7 linked regions of the Macaca mulatta genome follow. The protein of the gene in region 1 interacts with the protein of each later gene in a biochemical or structural test. Links are inferred from orthologs where the notes say so. Each region holds a gene or a part of one and is shown in the gene's direction. Other genes may lie near its edges.

The links.
Region 2: of the proteins of PRKN (region 1) and SEPTIN5, one has a biochemical effect on the other in vitro, tested with the Homo sapiens proteins (2 studies listed by BioGRID). The link is inferred for Macaca mulatta from reciprocal best matches to the Homo sapiens genes PRKN and SEPTIN5.
Region 3: the proteins of PRKN (region 1) and UBE2G1 form a complex in vitro, tested with the Homo sapiens proteins (5 studies listed by BioGRID). The link is inferred for Macaca mulatta from reciprocal best matches to the Homo sapiens genes PRKN and UBE2G1.
Region 4: the proteins of PRKN (region 1) and ABL1 form a complex in vitro, tested with the Homo sapiens proteins (2 studies listed by BioGRID, with this or other methods). The link is inferred for Macaca mulatta from reciprocal best matches to the Homo sapiens genes PRKN and ABL1.
Region 5: of the proteins of PRKN (region 1) and SNCAIP, one has a biochemical effect on the other in vitro, tested with the Homo sapiens proteins (3 studies listed by BioGRID). The link is inferred for Macaca mulatta from reciprocal best matches to the Homo sapiens genes PRKN and SNCAIP.
Region 6: the proteins of PRKN (region 1) and UBE2Z form a complex in vitro, tested with the Homo sapiens proteins (2 studies listed by BioGRID). The link is inferred for Macaca mulatta from reciprocal best matches to the Homo sapiens genes PRKN and UBE2Z.
Region 7: the proteins of PRKN (region 1) and PARK7 form a complex in vitro, tested with the Homo sapiens proteins (2 studies listed by BioGRID, with this or other methods). The link is inferred for Macaca mulatta from reciprocal best matches to the Homo sapiens genes PRKN and PARK7.

The regions. Positions count from the first base shown.
Region 1 is NC_133409.1:9,424,593-9,429,203, forward strand, and holds the start of PRKN (E3 ubiquitin-protein ligase parkin), read left to right. Parts: upstream 1-1,704; 5' UTR 1,705-1,803; coding exon 1,804-1,810; intron 1,811-4,611. Other genes in the region: PACRG (parkin coregulated gene protein), read right to left, coding at 1,078-1,233. UniProt on the Homo sapiens protein: Functions within a multiprotein E3 ubiquitin ligase complex, catalyzing the covalent attachment of ubiquitin moieties onto substrate proteins. Substrates include SYT11 and VDAC1.
Region 2 is NC_133415.1:32,983,146-32,987,723, reverse strand, and holds the start of SEPTIN5 (septin-5), read left to right. Parts: upstream 1-1,408; 5' UTR 1,409-1,703; coding exon of another isoform or gene 1,704-1,784; 5' UTR 1,785-1,938; coding exon 1,939-2,175; intron 2,176-2,564; coding exon 2,565-2,661; intron 2,662-2,766; coding exon 2,767-2,853; intron 2,854-3,075; coding exon 3,076-3,199; intron 3,200-3,280; coding exon 3,281-3,415; intron 3,416-3,509; coding exon 3,510-3,627; intron 3,628-3,728; coding exon 3,729-3,830; coding exon of another isoform or gene 3,831-3,865; intron 3,866-4,578. UniProt on the Homo sapiens protein: Filament-forming cytoskeletal GTPase. May play a role in cytokinesis. May play a role in platelet secretion.
Region 3 is NC_133421.1:5,803,364-5,807,314, reverse strand, and holds part of UBE2G1 (ubiquitin-conjugating enzyme E2 G1), read left to right. Parts: intron 1-697; coding exon 698-800; intron 801-3,951. UniProt on the Homo sapiens protein: Accepts ubiquitin from the E1 complex and catalyzes its covalent attachment to other proteins. In vitro catalyzes 'Lys-48'-, as well as 'Lys-63'-linked polyubiquitination. May be involved in degradation of muscle-specific proteins.
Region 4 is NC_133420.1:16,718,972-16,722,922, reverse strand, and holds part of ABL1 (tyrosine-protein kinase ABL1), read left to right. Parts: intron 1-941; coding exon 942-1,115; intron 1,116-1,680; coding exon 1,681-1,976; intron 1,977-3,951. UniProt on the Homo sapiens protein: Non-receptor tyrosine-protein kinase that plays a role in many key processes linked to cell growth and survival such as cytoskeleton remodeling in response to extracellular stimuli, cell motility and adhesion, receptor endocytosis, autophagy, DNA damage response and apoptosis.
Region 5 is NC_133411.1:131,434,900-131,438,850, forward strand, and holds part of SNCAIP (synphilin-1), read left to right. Parts: intron 1-543; coding exon 544-636; intron 637-1,248; coding exon 1,249-2,320; intron 2,321-3,641; coding exon 3,642-3,712; intron 3,713-3,951. UniProt on the Homo sapiens protein: Isoform 2 inhibits the ubiquitin ligase activity of SIAH1 and inhibits proteasomal degradation of target proteins. Isoform 2 inhibits autoubiquitination and proteasomal degradation of SIAH1, and thereby increases cellular levels of SIAH.
Region 6 is NC_133421.1:61,086,010-61,089,960, reverse strand, and holds part of UBE2Z (ubiquitin-conjugating enzyme E2 Z), read left to right. Parts: intron 1-3,150; coding exon 3,151-3,263; exon of another isoform or gene 3,264-3,311; intron 3,312-3,951. UniProt on the Homo sapiens protein: Catalyzes the covalent attachment of ubiquitin to other proteins. Specific substrate for UBA6, not charged with ubiquitin by UBE1. May be involved in apoptosis regulation.
Region 7 is NC_133406.1:232,823,848-232,827,798, reverse strand, and holds part of PARK7 (Parkinson disease protein 7), read left to right. Parts: intron 1-1,442; coding exon 1,443-1,502; intron 1,503-3,015; coding exon 3,016-3,085; intron 3,086-3,951. UniProt on the Homo sapiens protein: Multifunctional protein with controversial molecular function which plays an important role in cell protection against oxidative stress and cell death acting as oxidative stress sensor and redox-sensitive chaperone and protease.

The DNA.
Region 1 (4,611 bases):
AATTAGGATATCATTTTGCATAACCACATGGGAACCTGGCCTAGAGGTCTATAGGTAATCTGTTTCATTCATGTATTTTAAGTATGTCGTTTAGGAATAAGTTATTAGGTTTACAACATATAAGCAAAGGAAATAATGTGACACTGGAAAACAACATTACTCATTTAACATAATGAATTGCCACATGTAATAACTCAGATCTTCCCAGGGTGTAAATTATATGAATTTGAAAGCTGCATTTATTATTTAATGCCTCATTCCCAGACAGGTGCTTACTCAGTAGCAAAATCTGCCTTAGCATACCAAGTGTAAAGCTATGTAACAAATAGGAAGGTTTAAAAAATAGATACTATCATGCAGACAGCTAAAATATTTGTATGTATTTTTAATCTTTTTTTCCTCTAATGATACTTAGAATATTTTATTTTTGTTACTACAAATAATGCAGATGAAATATGAATTGTATTAGTAGCAGAGACACATGAGCTAAAGCTTGTATTGTTTAAAGCACATCATCTTAAAAGGCCTGTCAGGAAACAGTGTTCATATTAAGTGGGCTTTCAGTACTCTAACAAGATGACATCATTTTCTAAGAGACAAGTGTTGTTAGAGTAACTGCTAGGATATTCCAAAATTTCTCATTATAGATTATTTAATGAGTTTATGTTCCCAGTTGTATATCAGCTCATGTTAAATTTTGCAAGAGTTTATGATTTCTAAGAGCTCATCTTCTGTAAGGCCCTTTGCTGAGTGGGGTTAGTTAGCAATCAGTAATTAAAGGGGATCTTTTTACCTCGTGTAAATAGCGTAAGAGTAATTTTGGGCGGTTTAGAAACGATGAGTTATCAGGAAGGTGCTTATCAATGGGCAGAGTATATCATTTGCCCAGGATTCTAACAACCTAGCCTGCCCCCCACACACTGTGGGGGACCGTCTGCTACTTGCCAAGTAATTGCCATTTTTGGCAAAGACCACCCAGGACATGGGCTCAGAGTCCATCCTAGGGCTGGCCAACCTCTGTAAATCTCGTGTCCCCTGATACGGAGCGAGTGCATTCAATTCAGGAAGATCACTTACGACTGAGTTTTTCATCATGGCTTTGACTGTGAAGCCCTCAGAAACCAGGGAGTGAGGCTGGTGCACCGGGAGCGGCTGTTGTGCCAGCAGCTTGGTCCTCTTCGGCATCTTGTCTGGGCATTTGTTTAAGCTCAGGGTCTCTTTTTCTGCCACCATCTTCCTAGAAAATGTCTTGTTCTCATAAAAAGTGTAGTAAAAGAATCAGTGGGTTTTACGGATGTGAGCAGGAGGTCGGGAAAAAAATGTCAAAAGGCGCGTTAATGGTAGAAATTCAACCCCTCGTAGTGCCCAGGTTGATCCAGATGTTTGGCAGCTCCTAGGTGAAGGGAGTTTAGGGGAGGGGTGGGGCGGGAAGAGGGCAGGACCGTAGCTAGAGCTGCAACAAGCTTCCAAAGGTAAGCCTCCCGGTTGCTAAGCGACTGGTCAACACTGCGGGCGCATAGCTCCGCCCCTCGGTGACGTACGATTGCTGGGCCTGAAGCCGGAAAGGGAGGCGGCGGTGAGCTGGAGGGCAGGAGGCGTGAGGAGAAACTACGCATTAAAACTACGACTCCCAGCAGGCCCTGGGCCGCGTACCCTCCGCGCGTGCGCATTCCTAGGGCCCGGCGCCGGGGCGGGGAGCCCTGGAAGATTTAACCCAGGAGAGCCGCTGGTGGGAGGCGCTGGCTGGCGCCGGTGCGCGCGTAGGCCCTTTCCTGGCCCGCAGCCGCCACCTGCCCAGTGACCATGATAGGTACGTGGGTACCTGCCAGGTACAGCCTCATCTGCGCCGCCCTGCGCCCCGGTGTGGCCTCGGCCGACCTGGACCCCAGGTGCCAACTGTCAGTGACGGGGCCAAAGTGCCCATGTCGTACCCGGCCCGCACCGCCGGGCTCTCCAGCTCAGCGACGCGGGCCCGGGGCCCCAGTGTGTGCGTTCCAAGCCCTCGCCCGCCCGCCCCTGCTCTGAGCGTTCCCGTGAAGACCGCCTCACCGGGGACGCCAGGCGGCCCCGCACCCCCGGTCCTCGCTCATGGTCCCCCGGACCGTGTAGGGTCCCGAAGCCTTCGCCCCGCCGCCGCCCCTCGCCCTCGAGGCCCTGGCCAGTTGTCGTGCGGTTCAGGACCCATCGAGACCCACTCTTTGTGGGGCTCTTTCAGGAAACCCCAGCAAAGCATTAAACTCTAATGGAAGGCACCTGGTGAGGGTGGCTGGGCGCCACAGAAACTCCTCCAGATGAATCTAAACTTCTTGCTCCCTCGGATGTTTCCTTTTAAACTTCTCGTTGGAGGGCTGAGGTGAAAGAAAAATTGAGAGTAAATAATAGCCAAGATTACATCTACTGCCTTTTGCAAAATAACTTTGTTTTTTTTGTTTTTTTTTGGTAAAACACAATGACCGAGGTGCAATTTTGTGAACAAAACTTAGTGGCATCAGAGTTGTTCATGAACACTTGATGTGTAAGATGAGCAAAGGTGCAAAGGTCCTCTTCCAGGGTTGTTGAACCAAAAACTACTTTAGGGGCTGTCCCTAAAAATGAATGGAAATGCACCATATGTTTAGAAGCCAGTGCTATATGGGGTTTCATTATTGTGGAAGTTTCTCCAGGTTATGTATGGAGGGTTTAGTGAGCTTGTTTAGGGCTAATTCCTGAGGAGCGTCCCTTACAAAACACTTTTGATTGCAGTAAGTACGTTCGAAGTCAGATGTGGTCTGTCCAGAAGTAAGGTGAGAGGTGGATTCATAAAATATATGATCTTTATGCACTGAAAACACGTACTACATCTGTTTTTATTTATGAAGTTATTGTTAAAATGTAAACATTCTGCCCATCAGTGGGAGAATCAAGCCAGCTAACTGGCATTGTCTTTGTCTCTGTGGTAAAACAAGAATGTTGTCCAGCCTTTCTTCCCTTTCTAGCATGGTCTGACTTTTGGTGAATGACTTGAAAGTTAACCAAATTATGAAAAAGTTATAATTTTTTGAGTTTTCTTGAGCTCTTTTTAGGTGACATTTACGTAAGATTCACTTGTAAGCACAAGTCTGAACTGAATCAGAAAACCAAGTAGAAGAGATTTTCCAAAATCCGTGCTATCAGTAGTCTACAGGAAGAAAATAGCCTATACCTTATTTTGAAGACAGTTAAATACATTTTATTTTAATTTAACTTAATCTAGTGCACAGATAATTTTAAGAGAAACAAATTTATTGTAAAGCTATATGAAGACAGGCACTTAAGATCTGGGATTAGAGGCGTAAGCCACCATGCCCAGCCTCATTAGCCACATTTCAGTAAACATCTGAATGGCCAGTTTGAGATTTGGGTGTGGTGAACAGTGCTAAAGGTAGGTGAAAGTGAAAACCATTAAAAGGAAGCCTTGGAGTGATGGGTTTTGTGTTTTTGTGACAAAAATTCAGAGCCAGGAAAGACATTATAGATTCTATCCAGTGATCAGTTGGAGATCAAAATGTAAATAGTATGTATCTGGGATTTTCTGTTAAAGGTAAGAGTGCTTCTCAAAGCTTGCTCCTTTCAGGCCTATGCTTTCTCTGTTACACTCACCTTGTTGCGGGATTCAGGAGGACGAGAGAGACCTCAGGTTGAAACAGGAGAATCTTGATCGAGTGCACTCAGGCCCAGCTGACTCACATGCAATAGACTGGGCCCAGAATAAAGACAGTACTTGACTTTTATACACACTTCACAAAAGGAGGTGGGCTAGCTTGAAGCAAACTTACAGTGGTGGCAAAGCAGGGATACAGAGGCAGGACAAAGGCAGGACTGCACATGACCATCGCCAAGCAACCCAGATGTTCGTTATCTAGGTTTCCCTGGGCACAGGCTTATCCTATAACCTTCACTGTGGTGCCCAGGCAGCTGTAGTTCAGGCCTACTCAGGCTTCTCATGACCTTCGTTGTACTTCTTAGATAAAACAGAATACTTGAAATCACTAGTTACAGAGAACAAGAGTCTATAAACTGATTCCATAAAACAAAGGAAAATTTGTTTTTCTTCTCCCTGTGTTGAGGGAGTGCTGGGAGAGTCTCCAGAGCACATTCGATAATATTATCAAGACTCTTCCTGGATCTGGGCTGTGCTGTTGCTGCCTCTGGGACAAGTTAGCCTAAAACAGGAAAACTTATTTCTTTTTCTTTTTAATTTTATTTTTCTTTAATTTCCCGCCCCAACCTTAATGCAAATAATATTCTGCCAGTTGGAGAAACGTAAAGATGGGTTTCCTGGTAGAAGAGGAGTAAACAGGACTGACTGCGACCTAACTGCTAGTGGAATGTACCTTCCTTTTACTTTCTCAAAACCAAAGATTCCCTTCTTGGGATGAGGACTGTTTCATAAGTCCTTACATTTCCCACCTGGACTGCGATTGATATGTTGAATGCCCTGACCTGGGCAGCTATGGAAACGTAATTTAATTGAAGTCGGTTAAAAATTGTGCCTTTGTGGAAGGTGTGGAGAAGGACTTCAAGATAATATAAAGCAGAATAGAAAAGCTTAAAAGAATTCAACGTAGAACAGTGTAATTTTTGGTATCTCTA
Region 2 (4,578 bases), on another chromosome or scaffold:
TCTCCTGTTCCCAGCTGTGGGCCTGCCCCTCCTCCCCAGGTGCCAGTGGCTTCCAGGCCCCACAACAGGACCAGGGCCTGGACCGGCAGTGGAGGAGGTCCCTCAGCCAGGAGGGCCTAAGGGAGGGCTGGTGGCGGGTGGGGTGGGGCTGGGGCCTCCAGCTTCTAATGTTCTAACGTGCAGGGACTGGGCCTGTCCGGTCCTACCCTGGAACTTTTCTAGGCCCCATGTCCTGCTCTGCTGGGCTTGCCTGTTGGGATTCTACTGGGGTCAGGAAGGTGGGTGGCCCACAGAGCGGAGCTCAGGAGACCCCCGCAGTCCCTGGAGTAGCCACATGGGAGGGAGGCCCAGCTGGCAGGAGCTCCGAGTCCCTCCAATCCTGTGGGTCAGAGCCGATGAAGAAGCTCACAGGGCAAGGGAGTGTCCACGGAAGCACATGGGAGATGGGTCTCATCCCACCCCCTACCCCTGTCTCTGAGGGCAGGGCCACCTGGGGGCTGCAGGGCAGCGCATGGGTGGCTGGTGTTTATTCAGCAGGCTGGCAGGGGCTTCCAAGTTTTGCAGGGACCTCCAGTACTCTGGCAGCCTGCACCCTTCCCTTCCCTTCCCTTCTGTCCACCCTAAGCCTCCTAGGGGGCGGGCCGGGCTGGACTTCACAAAAGGGCTCTGCCCTCCTCCCGTCCCCCGAATGTCTTGGGGCGCCGCACCGGGAAAGAGTCCACCAAACACACATGCACACACCCACCCACACGCGCGCACACGCACATACCCAATGCACGCACTCACACACGCGTACACACACACGTGCACACGCATGTATACACGCACATGTACGGGCACACACGCAGGCATTGCACACACGCAGGCATTACACACACACCCGCACGGACGCGCACACACAAACACGCGCACACACGCACAGGGGAGGTCAGCCCCCAGCAGGGCTGGGGAGGGGTGCAGGGCGCGGCGTGTCTGTGGGCGCCGTGACGCAGCTGGGAGGTTTTTGGGCAAGTCTGCTAGAAGACTGCCGGCCCTGAATGGGGCGGGTTCCCGCGCGGTTGCGCGTGGGTCCCGGGAGCGGCCTCCGGCGCCCTCTGGCGGGCGGAAGCCGCGCAGCACCTCTTGGGGTCGGAACGCGCGGCCGCTACCGACTCCCGGCCCGCCCCAGCCCGCGTGCAGGACCCGGTCGTCCCCTTATGCTGTCCTGGAGCCCGGACTGAGGCCCCAGGGGCGCGGCGGGCCTCCCGGTCCCCGCAAGCCACGGCCAGTCAGCGCCTCGGCTCAGCCCTGCCCTCCGCAGCCGCTTTCGGGTGGCTCCGCCCGCGGCCCAATTTCCAGGCGACCGTTTCCCGGCGACGGCGGGCGGGGCCGTCTCTGCCGCCCCCCGCCGCGCGCTCCGCGGGCGCCTGCGACGCCCCGCCTCTGGCTCGGGTGCGGGAGCGGGGCCTGCCCGGGCTGCGACGCCGCCACAGCTCGGGGCCAGTCCGCCCAGTCAGGGGGATGGCTCGGGCGGCCTCGGGGGTCGACGATCCCCCGGGTGGGCGACGTGCCCTGTCCAGGCCTCACTTCCCGCGTCCGCAAAACGGGGCGGAGAACGCAGCCTAAGGCAGAGCCGTGCCAAGGTCCCTCGCCGTCTCCGGGCTCTGGCGGCCTGACCGGGCCTGGGGTCCGAGCGCGCCCGCGGGCCCGCAGGGGTCGCCGCGATGGACTCGCTGGCAGCGCCCCAGGACCGCCTGGTGGAGCAGCTGCTGTCGCCGCGGACCCAGGCCCAGAGGCGGCTCAAGGTGCGTGTGTGGAGAGGGCGGAACGTGGGTCTGTGACCCCGCGGGCCCCGAGACTCGGCAGGGGGTCCCCGTCCCCGCGCGCTGCCCGTCAGCGCCTAGGTTCAGCCCTGCCCTCCGCAGCGGCCTCGGGGGGTCCGCGGCCCAACGGTGGCCGATGTGCCCTGTGCAGGCCTCACTTCCCGCGTCCCCAAAACGGGGCGGAGAATGCGGCCGTGGGACCCCTCCAGGGGCCCCAAGGGTCTGCGGGGGCTGGGCGCCGGGGCGCGCGGGCGGGGTAGGCTCGGCGCCGCCGTCTATAAATAGGCGCTGCTCCGCCGCCGCCGCTGCCGCCGCCCCCGCGGCTGGATCCAGGCCAGGTGGGGCCTCCCGCCCCCTGGCACTCTCCGGAGGGGTGAGTGTCGAGGCCCCGAGCTTCTCTGGCTTATGGAGGGCCTTAAGTGTGTCCCAGGGGTCCCAATCCTGTTGCCCTGTGCCCGAGGAGGGAGGACACCGCCTGTGCCTGCTGCAGCCTGACATCTCCCCAAGGGACAAACACAGCCTCGGTCCCTGCAGAGCCCTCCCTAAGGTTGGGGCCAGGGGTGTCCTCTTCTGCCACCCCCTGGCCTGCCTTCTTATCTCCAGGCTTTTGCCCACGGGCCCTCCCCTCATTTTTGCCAGTGAAATGCCCCACCCTGGGAACCATACCCTCTGCTGTCTCCTCATCCTTCATTTGGTAAGAGACAGGGTATTGGGCTTCCGGAGAAACCTTTTTGTCCCTAACTTGTCCCACCCTGCCCCCAGGACATTGACAAGCAGTACGTGGGCTTCGCTACACTGCCCAACCAGGTGCACCGAAAGTCAGTGAAGAAAGGCTTTGACTTCACGCTCATGGTGGCTGGTGAGTGGGCTGGGCTCCTCGGGAGTGGCTGGGGTCCCTGGCCAGCCAAGCTCTGTCGTTGGAGCCCCAGACCTAACCCAACTCCTTCTCTGTACCCGTGTGCAGGTGAGTCAGGACTGGGGAAGTCCACACTGGTCCACAGCCTCTTCCTGACAGACTTATACAAGGACCGGAAGCTGCTCAGTGCCGAGGGTGAGTGGCCCCCAGGAGGCCCTGGCACTGATCCCCAGCCCCCTTCCATGGGACCTCTCCAAGCACTCCCTTCCAGGTCCAGCTCCCAGTGTTCTGTTCTTGCGGGTGGGTCCCCCCGGGGGTAGGGCCAAGGCATCAAGATGGATGAGGACAAGGGTCCTGGCTGCCAAGGGTGAGGGGCTGAGGGTTGGAGAGGCCCCTCCAGTGGCCCCTTCCCTGTAGAGCGCATCAGCCAGACGGTAGAGATTCTAAAGCACACGGTGGACATTGAGGAGAAGGGAGTCAAGCTGAAGCTCACCATCGTGGACACACCGGGATTCGGGGATGCCGTCAACAACACCGAGTGGTGAGCGAGGCCTACTGAGAAAGGCCCTGCCTAGGCGGCCACAGCACTCCAGGCCTGGCCTCACCTCCCTCCTGCCCACAGCTGGAAGCCCATCACTGACTATGTGGACCAGCAGTTTGAGCAGTACTTCCGCGACGAGAGCGGCCTCAACCGAAAGAACATCCAAGACAACCGAGTGCACTGCTGCCTGTACTTCATCTCCCCCTTCGGGCATGGGTGCGTGGCTGTCCTGGGGCCAGACTCGGGAGTGCACCCCCTTACAATATGGCCCCTGGCTGTGCCTATGCCCACGCTTGGCTGCTCTCGGCAGGCTGCGGCCAGTGGATGTGGGTTTCATGAAGGCATTGCATGAGAAGGTTAACATCGTGCCTCTCATCGCCAAAGCTGACTGTCTTGTCCCCAGTGAGATCCGGAAACTGAAGGAGCGGGTGAGCTTGCCGCCGCACAGGGGCCTGGCCAGGGCCCTGGGGCTGAGAGTACAAGGGGGACTTGACCGGCCTCAAATCTGACAGCCCTTGCCCCACCACAGATCCGGGAGGAGATTGACAAGTTTGGGATCCATGTATACCAGTTCCCTGAGTGTGACTCGGATGAGGATGAGGACTTCAAGCAGCAGGACCGGGAACTGAAGGTGAACATGCAGACTGCTGGGGCAGGGCGATGGAGGTGGCAAAGGCAGAACCAGAGGGCCTTGGCCTTGTCTCCTTCACACTGGGCCTGCTGGAGGAGGGCAAGGTCAGCCCAGTTGGGGGCAAGAGTCATTTGTTCTAGGAGTAAAGGACCTGTACCCCCTTCATCCAGAACTAGAAGGTAAAGGTCACCATGTCTTTGCTTGGCTGGGGTGGGTCATGCGGGCCCCACATGGTGCTTGGCAGGTATGGAGCACTTGGCCAGATCCAGAAGTGCAACAGTGGGCCAGGCCCTTAACCCCAACCCTCTTTCCATGGGTTACCAGAGGAAGGGGCTAGCCCAGTGGCACACCCTGGCTCCCAGATTTCTGACCTCCAGGGTTGGTGGCTTCAGGTACCCCAGCAACTTGAGTGGTGATAATGGAGACCATGCCAGGGGAAGGTGGCCACCAGGGCAGGGGCATCAGCACGGGGAGACATAGGCTTAGCCCTGGGGAGGGAAGGGGCAGCTGGAGGGTGTGGTTCTTGATGAGGGAGGAGATGAGGGTGGAGCATGCCTGGAAAGGCCCTGCAATGTGAAGCCCTGGAAGGCCATGGGCTCTGTCTCCAGCCAGTGGCAGAAAGGCCAGAAAGGGGCAACGCCAGGATCTCTTTGAGGAGAGGTCGTTGATGGTGATGCTGGAGGGGTGCCCTGGGAATTACATGCCCGTTTCCCATCAGTAACCCTGCAATTACGCTGACCGGGTGTGA
Region 3 (3,951 bases), on another chromosome or scaffold:
CATGCCACGGCACTCTCTTTAGAAGAGAAGAACCTCATGATGCTACAGCCATTCCTGTATGCTCTAGCTATTACTCTTAAGTTAATCCTGTGTCCCAGAGGCTATGGCTCTCAGAGGGTCAACATACACAGATAAGACTTATGGGACCTCTGCTCTCCTTGTGCTCAGAGATGGATGGGCACACAGGAGCACTGTAGGAGCAGGTCCCCACGACTACAGGGACATGTCAAATAGGAGTACAAATGTTAGTACAAATGAAAGTTATTAAGCTCAGTATATTCCAATGAAAAGGTATGATTAGACACTCTGAAAGCATACCCTAAAGATAGCAGCTTAAGAATTGCCAACTTGATTTGATTTCTGGGGTTCCCTCGAACGAGAATCTCTGGGGGATGGGCCTGGATATCTGCATTTTAATAAGCTTCCTTAAAAGACCACTGTAGGGCCACCCAGAATGACAAGAGCCTGGCTGGACACCAGTAGAAGTTGATCTTCTGGAGAGTTTGCTTTACCCAGGGCTTTCTTACAGTATAGACATGAAAATATTTTGGCCATCAAGTAGCATCTTGCCTGGCAAGGTATATCTGTTTGATGGTTTAAAACTTATATATAACATGTATGCTCAAGTTCTGTAATTTATCTATTGGATGAAAATTTTGTGCTTAAATGTATTGATTAAACTTTGCTTTTTCCACAGAACTCAACAAAAATCCAGTGGAAGGCTTTTCTGCAGGTTTAATAGATGACAATGATCTCTACCGATGGGAAGTCCTTATTATTGGCCCTCCAGATACACTTTAGTAAGTATAATGGGACTGACATCTTCAAAATGGAGCTCTTTTAATACACTGAGTTAAAAACTATTTTGGCAGGCTGGGCGTGGTGGCTCACGCCTGTAATCCTAGCACTTTGGGAATGGGTGTGGTGGCACGCGCCTGTAGTCCCAGCTACTCAGGAGGCTGAGGCAGGAGAATCACTTGAACTCAGGAGGCAGAGGTTGCAGTAAGCTGAGACCACACCATTGCACTCCAGCCTGGGTGACAGAGTGAGACTCCATCTCAAAACAAAACAAAGCAAAAACACAAGTATTTTGGCAAACTGAAATGAAATTATTTTTTAAGGAGCAGGAGAAATGGCTGTATTCAGTATCCTTTGTACTGAATTGGATCATCGAAGAGTGTTCGTGTTCTCCTTGAATCTCTAATGTCTAAGACCTATTGCTATTAAAAATAATAGTTTCAGGCTGGGTGTGGTGGCTCACGCCTGCAATCCCAGTACTTTAGGAGGCTGAGGTGGGTGGATCACCTGAGAGGTCAGGAGTTTGATACCAGCCTGGCCAACATGGTGAAACCCTGTCTCTACTAAAAATATGAAAATTAGCCGGGCGTGGTGGCACACCTGTAATCCCAGCTATCCAGGAGGCTGAGGCAGGAGAATCACTTGAATTCAGGAGGCAGGATAATTGTATATTTTTTGGACATTTTAATTGAGAATGTATTATACACATCAGTGTATTAAGAAGGCTAAGGAGAATTTTCAAGATCGTCTATTTTCGTGGTTCTCTACTTGAGTCCCCACTGAATACTGGTTAGAATCTAGGTGTTCTTATCCTATACTAAACTAATGGTCACTTTCTCCTAGTTTGTTGAAAGTTATTGTTAGACTATATGATAACCTGTTAACTGACTATTAATTGTTAAACCAATGACTTAAGGATAGACAACAATGTAGTGGTATTAAATAAGAGTAGAAGAGAAGTAGAATTTTAAAAATATTTCGTGTAGTACATTTCTAGATGCAAAGACCACAGTCGTATTTTCTGCTCTGAGTGTTTGCAGACTAACTTAAATTTACTAGTATGTATTGTTTTGTAAGATGCATCTGCCAGGCGCGGTGGCTCACCCCTGTAATCCCAGCACTTTGGGAGACTGAGGTAGGCAGATCACGAGGTCATGAGTTCGAGACCAGCCCGACCAACATGGTGAAACCCTGTCCCTACTAAAAAGACAAAAAAATTAGCCGGGTGTGGTGGCGCGCGCCTGTAATTCAGCTACTCAGGAGGCTGAGGCAGGAGAATCGCTAGAACCCAGGAAGTGGAGGTTGCAGTGAGCTGAGATAGCGCCATTGCACTCCAGCCTGGGTGACAGAGCGAGACTCCATCTCACACACACACACACACAAAGATGCATCAAGACTTCCTTACATTGGTGACTGATACAAGTTTCCATGCTTTTTACAGCAGTTCAGGTATTGGAAAAAAAGGAAGTGACCTTCTTAAAGCCAACAACTGAGTGACAGGGACAGATCTAGATCTGAGTTTCTTGAGGTCTGGACTATACTTTCTCATTTAACCTTCATCTCAATGGTGCTAAGTGGGTAAGGATTTGGATGCATCAAACAGTTTTTTTGGTGATGGTCAGGTAGTTGTTTTTAGGTTTTCTGAGTTAGTAGCTCTTTTCCTCCTCAGAAAACAGCTGATGGAAAAGAAGATTTGGAGCTATTTCTCTGCCAGGCTAGGCTGATACGTAGAGTTGAACCGTCGTGTGGACATTTGTGTTTGTGATAACGATTGCCAATCCGAAATTTTGCTGATGTGTTTCCTGATAGTAGTTTGCATTGATGAGTTTTACAAATTGAGATAACTGAATTTGGCCACCCCACATGATTAAGGTTTTTGGCAGATAACAGTAGCCATTGAAGACCATCTGGAAGTGCTTCCTCCTAACCTTACTGTTATTTGAAAGCAAATTTCCTAACAGTTTTTTCACCAAAAGATGCTTGATGCAGCCAGATCCTTACCCACTTACCACACCTGGGATGTGAGCCCGGTGAAGTTCAGATCTATTCTTGTAGTTTTTCAACATCACCACCTTGGGAGACACAGCAACATTTCAGTGACAGAATCTAGTTACCCTTGTATTACGTACATGAAAACAAGAAAAACTCTTCTAAACTGATGTCTGTATGGAGCATTGGTTGGGAATCCAGATTTGAGCTCAATTCTAAGGGCCTCATTGAAATTTTTTTTTTTTTTTTTTTTTTTTTTGAGATGGAGTCTCACTCTGTCTCTCAGTCTGGAGTGCAGTGGCGCGATCTTGGCTCACTGCAATCTCTGTCCCCTGGGTTCAAGTGATTCTGCCGTGTCAGCCTCCCAAGAAGCTGGAATTACAGGCACCTGCCACCACACCCGGCTAATTTTTGTATTTTTAGTAGAGATGCCATTTCACCATGTTGAGCAGGCTGGTCTCGAACTCCTGACCTCTCAGGATTAGATATACACCATTTTGTTACAATTGCCTACAGTATACAGTACAGTAAAATGCGCTACAGGTTTGTAGCCTGGGAACTATACGCTGTATCCTAAAGCCCAGGTATGTAAGTAGGCCATACCCTGTAGGCTTGTGTATGTTCACTCTGATGTATAAAATCGCCCAAGGACGCCTTTCTCAGATCATAACCCTGTCGTAAAGCCTCGCATAACTGACTGTATGTTGTGTACCTCCAGCTCCACCAAAGAGAAACACTTTTTCTTTTCACTAATAAAAACCCGTTTCTGGGCGGGCGCTGTGGCTGACGCCTATAGTCCCAGCACTTTGGGAGGCCGAGGCGGGCAGATCACGAGGTCAGGAGATCTAGACCATCCTGGCCAACATGGTGAAACCCCGTCTCTACTAAAAATGCAAAAATTAGCTGGGCGTGGTGGCGCGCACCTGTAGTCCCAGCTACTCAGGAGGCTGAGGCAGGAGAATTCTTGAATCCGGGAGGCGGAGGTTGCAGTGAGCCAAGATCACACCACTGTACTCCAGCCTGGTGACAGAGCAAGACTCCATCTCAAAAAAGAAAACAACACCGTTTCTGGTATTTGGTGTACATTTTTGAAAGCGTTGGCTGTTGACTTGAGATGTGAATCACAGCAGTGTTTCTGGCAGCTCCTCTGGAGTGTGTATATGC
Region 4 (3,951 bases), on another chromosome or scaffold:
TCTTTTTTTGAGATGGAGTCTCACTCTGTCGCCCAGGCTGGAGTGCAGTGGCGCGTCTCAGCTCACTGCAACCTCCGCCTCCCGGGTTCAAGCAGTTCTCCTGCCTCAGCCTCCCAAGTAGCTGGGACTACAGGCACCTGCCACCATGCCCGGCTAATTTTTGTATTTTTAGTAAAGACGGGGTTTCATCATGTTGGATCTCCTGACCTCATGATCCGCCCACCTCGGCCTCCCAAAGTGCTGGGATGACAGGCGTGAGCCACCACACCTGGCCTCTTTTTTTTTTCTTTCTTTCTTTTTATTTTAAGACGGACTTTCTCGTTACCCAGGCTGGAGTGCAGTGGCGCAATCTCTGCTCACTGCAACCTCCACCTCCTGGGTTCAAGCGGTTCTCCTTCCTCAGCCTCACGGGTAGCTGGGACTATAGGCACGCGCCACCATGCCCAGCTAATTTTTGTATGGCTAATGAAGACGGGGTTTCACCATGTTGGTCAAGTTGGTCTCAAACTCCTGACCTCTGGTGATCCGCCCAGCTTGGCCTCCCAAAGTGCTGGGATTACGGGCGTGAGCCACCGTGCCCGGCTAAAACAAGAAACTTTCACTGCATATTTTAAGCAAAGGGAAACGCATATGTGGATAGACTGTTTTAATTTGACTAAACTTATATTGAATCAATGAATTTTAAAAGCTCAAACTATTGGGGAACAGTAATTACCGCCTTGGAATGAAAATACTTAATGTTTTCCACAAGATTTAGTAAAGGAAGATTTTTTTTAAAACCACCTTAATAATAATAGTATGTATAGATGTTAATAAATGAAATAAATTAGGGATGTATAATGTTGGAAACATAAATATTTATGCTTCTGAAAATAAAACTAATTTTTTCTCCCGATTTTCTCTTGCTTTTTCTTTTTTCTGTTCCCCCCTTTCTCTTCCAGAAGCCCTTCAGCGGCCAGTAGCATCTGACTTTGAGCCTCAGGGTCTGAGTGAAGCCGCTCGTTGGAACTCTAAGGAAAACCTTCTCGCTGGACCCAGTGAAAATGACCCCAACCTTTTCGTTGCACTGTATGATTTTGTGGCCAGTGGAGATAACACTCTAAGCATAACTAAAGGTAAAAGGGTTGTGGGCAGCTAGTGGTGGTTGCAGGAAACAGAGATCTGGGAATTGCGGCTTGACCTGCCACCCTTTGCTCATTGAAGGAGCAGCTTTGAAATCTGGAATGCAGGGATATCCAAAACAACAACTGCATGTTTCTAAGGGAGTCGCCTCTCCTTAGAGGAGTTCTTGTACAATAGCCCTGAGCAAAAACAGAACTTGCCCTATGTTTTATACTGAAAGGGACAGCTGAACAAAATACTGAATGCAATTTTTCCCCTAAGAAAAAGCATTATTTCCCTAAAATGTTGTCTTATATTAGGAACAGAGCACTTGAATAAACATAATTGATTATAAAAACTGAGGCTATATACTTACCTATCTGTTCCGTACAAACAGGAAGCTTCAGATATAAATGTGTATTCTCATACACTTATAAATGCATATCTTTAAGTAGACTTGTTAAAATGAAATTGGCATTTAGGAATTTGGAAATCTTTAGTAGTTACACAAGAATCAATGAAAAAGAATGAAGCTGGTTTCCAGAGCTGATATGTCTGATTTGGTTCCTTTCTTCTAAGGTGAAAAGCTCCGGGTCTTAGGCTATAATCACAATGGGGAATGGTGTGAAGCCCAAACCAAAAATGGCCAAGGCTGGGTCCCAAGCAACTACATCACGCCAGTCAACAGTCTGGAGAAACACTCCTGGTACCATGGGCCTGTGTCCCGCAATGCCGCTGAGTATCTGCTGAGCAGCGGGATCAATGGCAGCTTCTTGGTGCGGGAGAGTGAGAGCAGTCCTGGCCAGAGGTCCATCTCGCTGAGATACGAAGGGAGGGTGTACCATTACAGGATCAACACTGCTTCTGATGGCAAGGTAGGGGACCCTTGGCAGGGGGGCTGATGGGCCCGGGGCAGGGGAACCCAGAGGTCCTGGTGTCGGATTGATAAATTATTGCAGGAAAGCTCAACCAGGAAGATGTTTAAAGAATCTTTCAAGTAAACAGTAGGAGTCATTCTTTTAGCCTTATGAAGACGCTTTATTGAGGATTGGTTCCGTGATATTACAAGTTCCTGGGCCCAGTATGATTCTCTTATTGTCTTGCTAGAGTTTTGTTGTTAGCAAGTTACTTAAAATAGGAGGAATATCTGTTGGGTTTTGGACACACTTTTTACAATAAGATTCTTCCTTAAAAAAAGATATATTTTATAATGATAGTAATCATCCTCAATTAGAAAAATTCAAATAATAGATTAGCTTTCCCAGAGCGAAAGACCACTTTAATATCCCCTCCCCCACAGAAGCCTGGCATGTGGGCTTCTTCCTGCAGATGAACACATTCATGGAGAGGTGTGTGGACGTACGTGCATATACACATGCAGTTTTCAGTGAAAACCAGGATCAGACCCACAGCTTACCAAACCCAAAGCGTATTGTTGTAAGGGAGGTGGCATATGTAATTTTGTGGTCTTCATATAAATAGTCCTTCAGAGTCCATAAAGAGAAGGGAGGAGTTAACATTGACTGAGGTATTGCTGTAATTCCTGCATCTTTGCAGAAAGGGAGGCATAAAGAGATCTTGCCGATATCAGTGTAGTGAGACATTGATGGAATAGGCTTGGATCCCCACAGTCTGCTCTATTGCACCAGGCTGTAGTTGAGGTACAGTGTAGATAGGTGGATTGGTGTGGTCCGGATGGTGTATGTTTGTTTTTCGTTTTTTTTTTTTTTTTTTTTTTTTTTTTTTTTTTTTTTTTTGAGATAGAGTCTTACTCTGTCACCCAGGCTGGAGTACAGTGGTGCGAACTTGGCTCACTGCAACCTCTGCTTCCCGTGCTCAAGTGATCCTCCCACCTTGGCCTCCTCAGTAGTTGGGACCACAGGCACACACCACCACACCCAGCTGTTGTTTGTTTGTTTATTTTGAGATGACATTTTCGCTCTCATTGCCCAGGCTGGAGTGCAATGGTGCGATCTCGGCTCACTGCAACCTCTGCCTCCCGGGTTCAGGCACTTCTCCTGCCTCAGCCTCCTAAGTAGCTGGGATTACAGGCATACGCCACCATGCCTAGATAATTTTGTATTTTTAGTAGAGACAAGGTTTCACCATGTTGGTCAGGCTGGTCTCGAACTCCTGACCTCAGGTGATCCACCTGCCTCAGCATCCCAGAGTACTGAGATTACAGGCATGAGCCACCGTGCCCAGCTGTTTTTGTATGTTCAGTAGAGACAGGGTCTCGCCATGTTGCCCAGGTTAGTCTCAAACTCTTGAGCTCAAGCAGTCTGCCCTCCTTGGCCTCCCAAAATGCTGGGATTACAGGCATGAGCCACTGCGCCCAGTCTGTATTTTTTTTAATAGTATGTAATGCATGCATGTGGTTACAAAAATTCAAAAGAACAAGATGAATTACAGTAAAAAGTAGTCGTCTGCCGGGCGTGGTGGCTCAAGCCTGTAATCCCAGCACTTTGGGAGGCCGAGATGGGCGGATCACGAGGTCAGGAGATCGAGACCATCCTGGCTAACACGGTGAAACCTCATGTCTACTAAAAAAAATACAAAAAAACTAGCCAGGCGAAGTGGCGGGCCCCTGTAGTCCCAGCTACTTGGGAGGCTGAGGCAGGAGAATGGCGTAAACCCAGGAGGCGGAGCTTGCAGTGAGCTGAGATCCGGCTACTGCACTCCAGCCTGGGTGACAGAGCGAGACTCCGTCTCAAAAAAAAAAAAAAAAAAAAGTCGTCGTCTCTTAATTCACTTTTCCTGCGCAGAGGCAAGCACTGTTACTAGTTCCTTCCAGAGTTACCTGGACATAGATGGATGGTATATAGATGTTTATATGGATGTTTATATTCA
Region 5 (3,951 bases), on another chromosome or scaffold:
TGTATGGATGCTCGAAGTACAGTTTCTACTGAATCCGTATCACTTTCTCATCATTGTAAATTTGAAAAATCACAAGTTAAAGTATAGTAAGTCAGAGATTGTATACTGCAAATAGTATTTTGTAATTTTCCTTTTTATTAAATGAAAGTAAAGTATACTTCATATATACATATTTATATATAACTATGCTTTATATCTACATTATGTAGACATAAGTGGGAAAACTTTTTCTATGTCCATAGATACTCAAACATATTATCATTTTAATAGCTGTCATTGTAGAAACAATTATAATTTGTTAACTCAGACTTACTGATAAGCATTTAGGTTACTTACAGTTTTTCATTAATATTGGCAATAAATATCTTTTTGGGGTACTTTTGATTGTTTCCTTAGGAAAATTTCTGAACTGAAGATTATGCACATTTTAAGGCTTTTGTATTTATTGCAACTTACTGGAAATTATTAGGAAAAAAATTATACTCCCTAATTTATAGCAGTAGCCAGTATCAGAGACCTCATGTGTTTTGGTTGTTTTCCCAGACAAACAGTAGAACGTGTCACGCTGCAGAACCAACTCCAACAATTTCTAGAAGCCCAGAAATCAGAGGGCAAGTCACTCCCTTCTTCACCCAGGTAATACCAGCACATTGTTGTTTAGCATTCTTAAGTATCCTAAATTGTTAAGCCTTCTTCTGAACTTCCTTTGATATATTTTAAGAGGATGACAACAGAAAACATTTTCTTCTTATAAAGGGGAATAAAAATGAGAAATCACAGTGAAAAAGGCACAGGACCTAGAGTCTGAAGACCTACTCTATTCTCTGATTCTGCTATTTTTCATTCCACGACTATAAACAAGTCACTTACTCTTTTGTGAGAATTGAATCTTTTAATTCTTCATCTGTGAAGTGGAAATAGGAGATATATAGATATAGATATAGATATAGCTTGATAAGTTTGTTGAAAATGGAATTAGCTGAGAACATTTATGCAAAATTGATGTATAAACAGTAAAACAGACAAATTTAGTAGTCATGGTAGTTATAGCCAAAGGCATAAGGCACCTTATAGCTGATACTATGGAGTATTTGCACATTGTTTTGAAGAGACATTAAGTACTTATTTGTATTCTGTTCTTATTTACTTGTACATTATTAGTGGCAGTAAAGGCCATGTAGCGACTTGTGGCTGAATCATTTCAACCCAGTAGGAAATCATCTCATATGTCCTTCATCTTCTTTTTAGTTCACCATCCTCACCTGCCTGCAGAAAGTCCCAGTGGAAATCCCCAGATGCAGATGATGATTCTGTAGCCAAAAGCAAGCCAGGAGTCCAAGAGGGGATTCAGGTTCTTGGAAGCCTGTCAGCCTCCAGCCGGGCTAGACCCAAAGCAAAAGACGAAGATTCTGATAAAATCCTACGCCAGTTATTGGGAAAGGAAATCTCAGAAAATGTCTGCACCCAGGAAAAACTGTCCTTGGAATTCCAGGATGCTCAGGCTTCCTCTAGAAATTCTAAAAAGATCCCACTGGAGAAGAGGGAACTGAAGTTAGCCAGGCTGAGACAGCTGATGCAGAGGTCACTGAGTGAGTCTGACACAGACTCCAACAACTCTGAGGACCCCAAGAATACCCCAGTGAGGAAGGCTGACCGACCAAGGCCACAGCCCATTGTAGAAAGTGTAGAGAGTATGGACAGCGCAGAAAGCCTGCACCTGATGATCAAGAAACACACCTTGGCATCAGGGGGACGCAGGTTTCCTTTCAGCATCAAGACCTCCAAATCCCTGGATGGCCATAGCCCATCGCCCACCTCAGAGAGCAGTGAACCAGACTTGGAATCCCAGTATCCAGGCTCAGGGAGTACTCCTCCAAACCAGCCCTCTGGTGACCCTCCACAGCCCAACCCTGACAGCACTGCTGCCCAGAAAGTTGCCACAAGTCCCAAGAGTGCCCTCAAGTCTCCATCTTCCAAGCGCAGGACATCTCAGAACTTAAAACTGAGAGTCACCTTTGAGGAGCCTGTGGTGCAGATGGAGCAGCCTAGCCTTGAACTGAATGGAGAAAAAGACAAAGATAAGGGCAGGACTCTCCAGCGGACCTCCACAAGTAACGAATCAGGGGATCAACTGAAAAGGCCTTTTGGAGCCTTTCGATCTATCATGGAGACACTAAGTGGCAACCAAAACAATAATAATAACTACCAGGCAGCCAACCAGCTGAAAACCTCTACATTGCCCTTGACCTCACTTGGGAGAAAGACAACAGATGCCAAGGGAAACCCTGCCAGCTCCACTAACAAAGGAAAGAATAAGGCAGTAAGTGCTATTTGGAGACTATTCTTTTTTTCTTCCTTCAAATGGATTATGTTGTCCCTAATACTACAGATTGTGGGCCCATGCTACCTTGAGGGAATCCCCAGAAAAAAAAATCCAAAGGGATGCATGGAAAGCCAAATAATGTGTCTAATGAGACATGTCTTGTTACATACATACTCCTTGCTCTTCTTTTGGAAAATATTCTAAGAGAGAAATGTTAAAAAAGAAGTCATAAGAGATTATATTCTGGTCCCTAAATTTCCCTAAATGGCATAATCTTTAGGTGTTAGGGATGCTAGACTTGGAGACATTTCTGCAAGATGAAACCACCAGTCAGTGCAAGTTTAGTCCTGCATTGGCACTGATTCTGTCCCAAGGAAGAGTTTGTTCTCTTCATGTGATGTGATAGTTTATTCTCAGGCTCAATTAAAAAGTACATAAATAGATGCTCTGTTTCTAAAGACTTAACTGTACAACTTTGGGATGACCTTTGAAATGAATACACCACAGGGACCTCCACATAGGTATTTTACAACACAGACTCCTAAGTGTTGATTGGAGCCTATAGGAACCTGAAGTGCTTGCCAGTCCACAGGGGATGGCAGAGTATGCCATGAACTACATTTTATAATTGCCTTCATTGGAAACCCATGCACTATAATCTGTGATTTATATCTAGTGGATAAGAGATATGAACATCTTTTTAGGCAATGTTTCCTGCAAGCTTTGCACTTGCCATGCCATTAAAAAATGGTATAGCAGCCAAAATGCAAAACTCTCTGTGGAATGGAATGACCTAGATCATTCTCCACGTGATCCAGATAAACCACCCAGTGGAGCTGCAGAATCTTTGTGATTTATCATTAGCTATAAACGTTAGAATCCCATTACAATGAGGTTTAAGAACTGTCCATATTCTTTTTGCAGTACCCAAATCAAGTTTTAGTGAGTATTTCTCTAATTAATTGAACACCAAATTTTAAATTATAAATCAATTTTGTCTGTAAATTGTCCTTATTATAGAAGACTACATCATGTGTTTGTTTCAGCTAGAAAAGGCATACTTGTGCCCAAAACACCAGACCTTTTGAGTCAAATGTGTCAAAACTTAAGTCACTCAAATAAAACTTTACCAGGTAACTTACTGGGTTCTGCTACTCAGTAGTAAAAGAAGAATCATCTCAGTTGCCCATGCTCCTTAAAGTGCATACTAAGCCACTGTCCTCTAATCTGTCTTCCTGCATGCTTCGTGTTTACTGGGCTTGTGCATGTGCTGAGCTTGTTGCATGTTTTCAGATGATTTTTAATTGCACCTCTCTAGGAAATGTACAGCAGCTGCATCAATCTTTCCTCTAACACGCTGATTGAAGAGCATCTGCATAACTACGCACGGTACGTGGTGCTAGGAGATGTGTTGTGCGGCCTTGACATGCTTTGCTTTGAATTGCATGAGCTTTTAAATCATGGACTTGGAGCACCTTTCATCAGAGGATAACACCAAGGAAGAAGAAAACTACAACTATTCCCCCAAGTAGAAGCAGGCACTGATGTAATGGTAACTAGGTCTTAGGTCGCTAGTCCCCCTTGGAGGGCTTTATTCCAGTGTCAGCCAGAAGATTCTTCTCAGTTCA
Region 6 (3,951 bases), on another chromosome or scaffold:
GTAATGGTGCATTCTCGGCTCATAGCAACCTCTGCCTCCCAGGTTCAAGTGATTCTTCTGCCTCAGCCACCCGAGTAGCTGAGATTACAGGCACGCACCACCATGCCTGACTAATTTTTTGTATTTGTAGTAGAGAAGGGTTTTCACCATGTTGGCCAGGCTGGTCTCGAATTCCTGACCTCAGGTGATCCACTTGCCTTGGCCTCCGAAAGTGCTGGGATTACAGGTGTGAGCAACCATGCCTGGCCAGCTTAATTTATTTTTAAACTACTACAGATGACACCAACTTTGATTATTTCTCTATAGACCTGAACAAAGGATAACAAAATACCTTTCAAAAATGAAAAAAAAAATTTTTTTTGAGACGGAGTCACTCCGTCGTTCAGGCTGGAGTGCAGTGGCTTGATCTTGGCTCCACCTCCCAGGATCAAGCAGTTCTGCCACAGCCTCCCGAGGAGCTAGGACTACAGGCACACACCACCACGCCTGGCTAATTTTTGTATTTTTAGTAGAAATGGCGTTTCACCGTGTTGGCCGGGCTGGTCTCGAACTCCTGACCTTAGGTGATCAGCCTGCCTCAGCGTCACAAAGTGGTGGGATCACAGGCGTGAACCACCGAGTCTGGCTTCAAAAGTTAACTAAAATTATTCCCTAATCCATCCTTTCTCCAAACAGTCATTTCAGGAGGAGATTCTAATTGAAATAGACCTCATTAGCAGGAGCTGATTTGTAGGTCTTATCTTTTTTTTTTTTTTTGGAGGCAGACTCTCATTCTGTCACCCAGGCTGGAGTGCAGTGGTGTGATCTCAGCTCAGTGCAACCTCTGCCTCCCAGGTTCAAGCGATTGTAGTGCCTCAGCCTTCCTAAAGTAGCTGGGATTACAGGCACACACCACAACGCCTGGCTGATTTTTGTATTTGTAGTAGAGATGGGGTTTCGCCATGTTGGCCCGGCTTGTCTTGAACTCCTGGCCTCAAGCAGTCTGCCCACGTCAGTCTCCCAAAGTGCTGGGATTACAGGTGTGAGCCACCATGCCCAGCCTTGTGTTTTTTATTTTTTACTTCTACAATGACTTGCAGTTGTTTTTATTTTATTTTTTATTTTATTTATTTATTTACAGGCACGCACCACCACGCCCAGCTAATTTTTATATTTTTAGTAGAGACGGGGTTTCACTATTTTGGCCAGGCTGGTCTCCAATTCCTGACCTCGTGATCCACCTGCCTCAGCTTCCCAAAGTGCTGGGATTACAGGTGTGAGCTACCGCGCCTGGCCCATCAGCTGCTTTTATCAGAGGCCACGGCTCTAATTGACTGGGGTTGGTGGTAAGAGAAGAGCACAGGAAAAAGTAAAGAGGAGGCTGTACTCCCCTTCCATTCACACCATAGTGAGATCCTGTTTATATTGGCTTTCTAGACCAAAGTTGAAGTTTATCTTTTGAAAGTTTTAAGTTCTGCTTCTGCTAGATTTATTTCTAATTTTACTATTTCTTTGAGACAAAGTCTTGCTCTGTCACCCAGGCTGGAGTACAGTGGCACAGTCATAGCTCACTGAAGCCTCGAACTCCTGGGCTCTAGCCATCCTCTCGCCTCAGCCTCCTGAGTAGCTGGGACGACAGGTGCACATCACCAATGCCCAGCTAATTTTTGTATTTTTTATAGAGACGGGATCTCACCATGTTGCCGATGCTGATCCTGAACTTCTGAACTCAAGCAATCCGCCTGCATCGGCTTCCCAAAGTGTCGGAAGTACAGGCATGAGCCGTCGGGCCCAGCCCTACTTCTGATTTATAATAATTGGTTCAATGATGGTGGGACCCTAGAGACATATAACAGGTAAAGGGGTTAATCAGGAAGCATCCTTTACTTGTTGGTGCCTAAAGGTTTTCCACGCTGACTCTTCACTTCATTTATACCTTTTTGTCCCACCATCATTCTTTCTTTCTTTTTTTTTTCTCCCCCTAAAAAGACAAGTGTTTCCCAGCCTGGGCAACCTAGTGAGACCTTGTCTCTACTGAAAAAATTTAAAAAAAAAATAGCTGGGCATTATGACATGCACCTTGAGTCCCAGCTACTTGGGAAGCTGAGGAGAGGAACATCGCTTGAGCCCAGGAATTCAAGGCAGCAGTAACCTCTGATCATGCCTACCACTTTCCAGCCTGGACGACAAAGCAAGAGCCCGCCTCTTAAAAATTTGTAAAATAAAAGACAAATAAGCTGGGTGCGGTGGCTCATACCTGTAACCCCAGCACTTTGGGAGGCGGGTGGATTACCTGAGGTCAGGCGTTCAGGACCAGCCTGGCCAACATGGTGAAACCCCGTCTCTACTAAAAAATAAAAAATTAGCCAGGCATGGTAGCGGGCACCTACAATCCCACCTACTTGGAAGGCTGAGACAGGAAAATTGCTGGAACCCAGGAGGCAGAGGTTGCAGTGAGCTGAGATCGTGCCATTGCACTCCAACCTGGGCGACAAGCAAAACTCAAAAAACAAATAAATAATAAAAAATACAAACTTGGGACCCGCTGTGGTGACTAATGTCTTTAGTCCCAGCTACTCAGGAGGCCAAAGTGGGAGGATTGCTAGAGCCCAGGAGTTCGAGGATCCCTAGATCCCAGGAGGTCAAGGCTGCAGTTAGCTATGATTGTGCCACTGCATTCCAGCCTGGGCAACAGCAAAGACCCTGTCTCCAAAAAGAAAAACTGAAAAAACAGGATCTTACTTTGTTGTCTAGGCTGAACCCAAACTCCTGGGCTCAAGTGATCCTCACACCTCAGCTTCCTGAGTAGCTGGGACTACTGGTGCATGCCACAAGGCTTAGCAACCCTACCATCATTCTTATGTTTGGTTATTTCCCTCGTAATCTTTACTTGATAGGCCTTTCACTTGACATTCAGGAAAATGATGTGGATCTAGTTTGCTGGTTATAGGCCAAATGACCTGCAACCTGATGGTATATTTGGAGGGTGGTGGGGTGAATGGTGTCAAAAATAAAGGTGTGGTTGCTCTTCATGGATCTGCCATACAGTGGGAAAGGTATTTTTTAGTTTGTATGACTGGCTTACATACCCCATACTAATCTTGAAGTCTCTTCCCATTGCCTTTCTTTTTGCTTAAATTTTGGGATACTCTGGCATCTGTTACATTACAGGAGAGACATCCAGGAGACAGCAAAAACTATAATGAATGTATCCGGCACGAGACCATCAGAGTTGCAGTCTGTGACATGATGGAAGGAAAGTGTCCCTGTCCTGAACCCCTACGGTATGTGTCAAGAGGGCTTGCTTGGTATTATTCCTTTGGGGCACTTGGGTAGTTGACACCTTTGAGGAACTTTGGGGCAGAGACAGTGTTGGGCACCAGAGGGAGATAGAGAAGAAGGAAAGATGTGGTTCCTGCTTTTAAAGAACAAGCTGCTGAGGGTTACCCAAGAGAAAGTTCAGAGAGCTACTGTGTTGGAGAACGCCAAGCCTTTGGGAGAGGCAGTCCACACCCTCAGGGAGTTTCCAGTTTGATGAAGGCTTGGATGTACTTTTTTCCAGCCAAATGTGTAGAGCACTTCATAATAAACTCATTTCTTAGTGCTGAAGTTTATTTTTATTATTATTTATTTATTTATGTATTTATTTTGAGATGGAATCCCGCTGTGTCGCCCAGGCTGGAGTGCAGTGGCCGGATCTCAGCTCACTGCAAGCTCCGCCTCCCGAGTTTACGCCATTCTCCTGCCTCAGCCTCCCGAGTAGCTGGGACTACAGGTGCCCGCCACCTCGCCTGGCTAGTTTTTTGTGTTTTTTAGTAGAGATGGGGTTTCACCGTGTTAGCCAGGATGGTCTCGATCTTCTGCCCTCGTGATCCGCCCGTCTCGGCCTCCCAAAGTGCTGGGATTACAGGCGTCAGCCACTGCGCCCGGCCTGAAGTTTAAGTGCCAAAACTGGATGAGCAATGTCAGGGT
Region 7 (3,951 bases), on another chromosome or scaffold:
CTGTCTCTCAAAAAATTTTATAGGTTGCACTAAATACATAATACATTTTTATTTTGTAATTTGTTTAATGACTAGATTTTTTTTTAACCTCTTTTTAAAGTCCTAAAGTATTGTTGGCCGGGCACAGTGGTTCACGCCTGTAATCCCAGCACTTTGGGAGGCCAAGGTGGGTGGATCACGAGGTCAGGAGTTCGAGACCAGCCTGGCCAAGATGGTGAAACCCCATCTTTACTAAAGATACAAAAATTAGCTAGGTGTAGTGGTGGGTGCCTGTAATCCCAGTTGCTTGGGAGGCTGAGGCAGGAAAATTGCTTGAATCCAGGAGATGGAGGTTGCAGTGAACTGAGATCACTGCATTCTAGCCTGGGTGACAGAGCAAGACTCTGTCTCAAAAATAAATAAATAAATACATAATAAAATAAAATAAAAATAAATAAATAAAAAGTCCTAAAGTATTGTTAAAACAATTTCCATTTTGTAATTTCAGGAAGTTTGAAATTAATTAGATTTCTAGGATTTTTTTGGGGGGGGGATACTCAAATTCTCCCCCGTTACATTTTTCATAATGTTAAAAAAAAAAAAGTTTGTGCCTTTTACTTAAAATTTGTTTCTCTATTAATTTTTTTTTTTTTTAGTGTCTTACTCTGTTGCCCAGGCTAGAGTGCAGTGGCGCAGCCTCAGCTCACTGCAGCCTCTGCCTCCTAGGTTCAAGCAATTCTCCTGCCTCAGCCCCCCAAGTAGATGGGACTACAAGTGTGCACCACCACGCCCGGCTAATTTTTGTATTTTTAGTAGAGATGGGGGTTTAGCCATTTTGGCTAGGCTGGTCTTGAACTCCTGAACTCAGGTAATCTGCCCGCCTCGGCCTCCCAAAGTGCTGGGATTACAGACGTGAGTCATCGTGCCTGGCCTGTTTTTCTATTAATTTTTTAAGTTGCTCATGTACATTCTTATTGAACAATAATTGAAACAATATAGACACATATAAAGTCAAAATGTTAAGTGTCCTATTCTCATTCTACCTCTGCCCCATCCCACACTACTCCTGTTAGCAACTAGAGTGTCTTCCTTGGTCTGTGACTACCTGTATACAATATATCAGGTGGGGGTGCTTGTGATGATTGTACTCATACACGCATACATCTACACATAAATACATATATCATTGTCTTTTACAGGAAGGAGATTATACTACCCCTGCTACTCTGTAGCATGGACATCCTTGCATGTCACTATATACAGGTTTTTTGCATTTTTTGCTAGTTAAAATAACATTCTGTCATATGGATACACCTTAATTTATTTAACTGTTCTATTGGCAGATATTTAGGCTATCTCCTGTGCTTCCCACATTTAAAATAGGGAAGTGTTACTGGACTGTCACTTTAATGCACAGTTGAAATTAAATGTTTTTGTTTTCTTTATGTTTTAAACTGTTACAGGGACCGTATGATGTGGTGGTTCTACCAGGAGGTAATCTGGGTGCACAGAATTTATCTGAGGTAAAAATTCTACTCAATTATACCTCAATAAAGCTGGGGGGAAAAAAACTAAAGAATTTCAGCATCTGCTTGTGTTCTGTTGATTTTGTTATTATTCAGATGTTTCAGGGAGGAGGCTGTGAAAAAAAAATAGAAACAACTAAAATTAACAAAATGGTGTTGTAGCATTAACTCAAAAATTTCTTTCTTTCTTTTTTTTTTTCTTTTTGAGACAAGAGTCTTGCTCTATCATCCAGACTGGAGTGCAGTGGCACAATCTTGGCTCACTGCAACCTCCGCCTCCTGGGTTCAAGCAATTATTCTGCCTCAACCTCCGAGTAGCTGGGACAGGCACGCACCACCTTGCCCAGCTAATTTTTGTATTTTCGTTAGAGACGGGGTTTTACCATGTTGGCCAGTCTGGTCTCAAACTCCTGACCTCGTGATCCACTCACCTTGGCCTCCCAAAGTGCTGGAATTATAGGCATGAGCCACCACACCCAGCCTCAAAAAAACGTTTTTAATATTTTCTCTGGAGGTCAGGCGCAGTGGCTTACACCTATAATCCCAGTGCTTTGGGAGGCTGAGGCAGGAGGATTACTGGAGGCCAAGAGTTTGAGACTAGCCTAAGTAACACATCGAGACCCCATCTCTACAAAAATTTTTGTTTTAATTAGCTGGGCACAGTGGTGCACACTTGTAGTCCCAGCTACTCGGGAGGCTATGGTGGGAGGACGGCTTGAACCCAGAAGTTTGAGGCTGCGGTGAGCTGTGAATGCACCACTGCATTCTAGCCTGGGCAGCAAAGCAAGAACCTGTCTTATCCAAAAAAAAAAAAAAATTGCCGTGGAAGTAAGCTGAATTGGTGGAACCGTTATGAACAGATTTCGGTGAATACAGTCCAAAGTAAGATGATTTAGTTTTTTTCCACCAGCAGAAGAATGATCAGATTTTGTGTTTTGGGAAGGGCAAATTGTCTACTCAAAGTCTGAACTGGGGGAGGCTGTGGGGCTAGGGCTGCCAGCAGGAATGACAAATGCCATCAGCAGACACCACTGTTCCTCATTTTAAGTTGTATGCGAGGAGTCAGAGGCCAGGGTGAGGGGCACACCAGCAGGCAGAGTTGGGGCTGCCAGAAGCACTCAAGAAGTGGGTTGAGTCAGACATGAGGGATCATTTCCTGCTAGATTCTCTTCCTCTATCTGCCATCTGAAAACACCCAAAACACCACATTCCCTCCTCCTTTTTGTTTCTCCATGGAGTACAAAATGGCAAGGGTCAAATTGCTTCTTTCTTCTGATCTTTAAATGTGGAGGAATGCGTTTCTCTTATGAGAAATGCCTTGCTTGGGTTTGATAATATAATACAGACACGTTTTGATCATTTTTATACCAATGATTTAGAAATATTGTTGGAAAATAGGTCAGAGAGCTTGTGGTTTAAGCTAAAATGAAATTCTTCCAAAGTTTCCTAGTGAGCGATTGGTTAGTGGCTTAATGATAACTTGACATATTTTTGGTTTTCTTTTCACTAGTCTGCTGCCGTGAAGGAGATACTGAAGGAGCAGGAAAACCGGAAGGGCCTGATAGCCGCCATCTGTGCAGGTGACGTGCAGGGGCAGCCTGTGTTGCAGCGTCATTGGTGGGTGGGGTAGCCTTTCATTCGGTGGTTTGATTTCTTTTTTTTTTTTTTTTTTTTTTTTTTGAGACGGAGTCTCGCTCTGTCACCCAGGCTGGAGTGCAGTGGCCGGATCTCGGCTCACTGCAAGCTCCGCCTCCCGGGTTCACGCCATTCTCCTGCCTCAGCCTCCCGAGTAGCTGGGACTACAGGCGCCTGCCACCTCGCCCGGCTAAGTTTTTGTATTTTTAGTAGAGACGGGGTTTCACTGTGTTAGCCAGGATGGTCTCGATCTCCTGACCTCGTGATCTGCCCGTCTCGGCCTCCCAAAGTGCTGGGATTACAGGCTTGAGCCACCTCACCCGGCCGGTGGTTTGATTTCAAATAGCTCTTCCCCTTCATAAAGCATGCAGGGCGTCTATGTTGGTGTATTTAGTTTGGGTGGCATGAAGGTGGTGTCATTTCAGAAATGAGGACAATTGTTCCGTTTTCTGCCTCTCCATGCCTTTGGTCTACGTGCTGTGAAACTTAGTGTTTTCCGTGTTTGGTTGACCTCGGAGGAAAATAAGGCCCTCTGGAATTCAGTAAACAGCTTGTTACAGCAGGTCTCTGTGCCAGAAAGTCTTTGTGCCAGCACACAGTCAGCAAGAATCCGCCAAACATCAGCACAGCAGCTCTGCCCTGTGCTTGCCCTGCAGATTCAGAAGCGCCGTGGTGCTTTCTGCTGGCTTCCGGGCGTTTCTGATTCTCTCACTGCCGAGTTATCTTGGGCACCGCATTATCTGCCACACAATTTAGAATAAGGACATTTGGTGCTTCACAGATGTCCCTCATCTTTGTATCCTAGTAATAT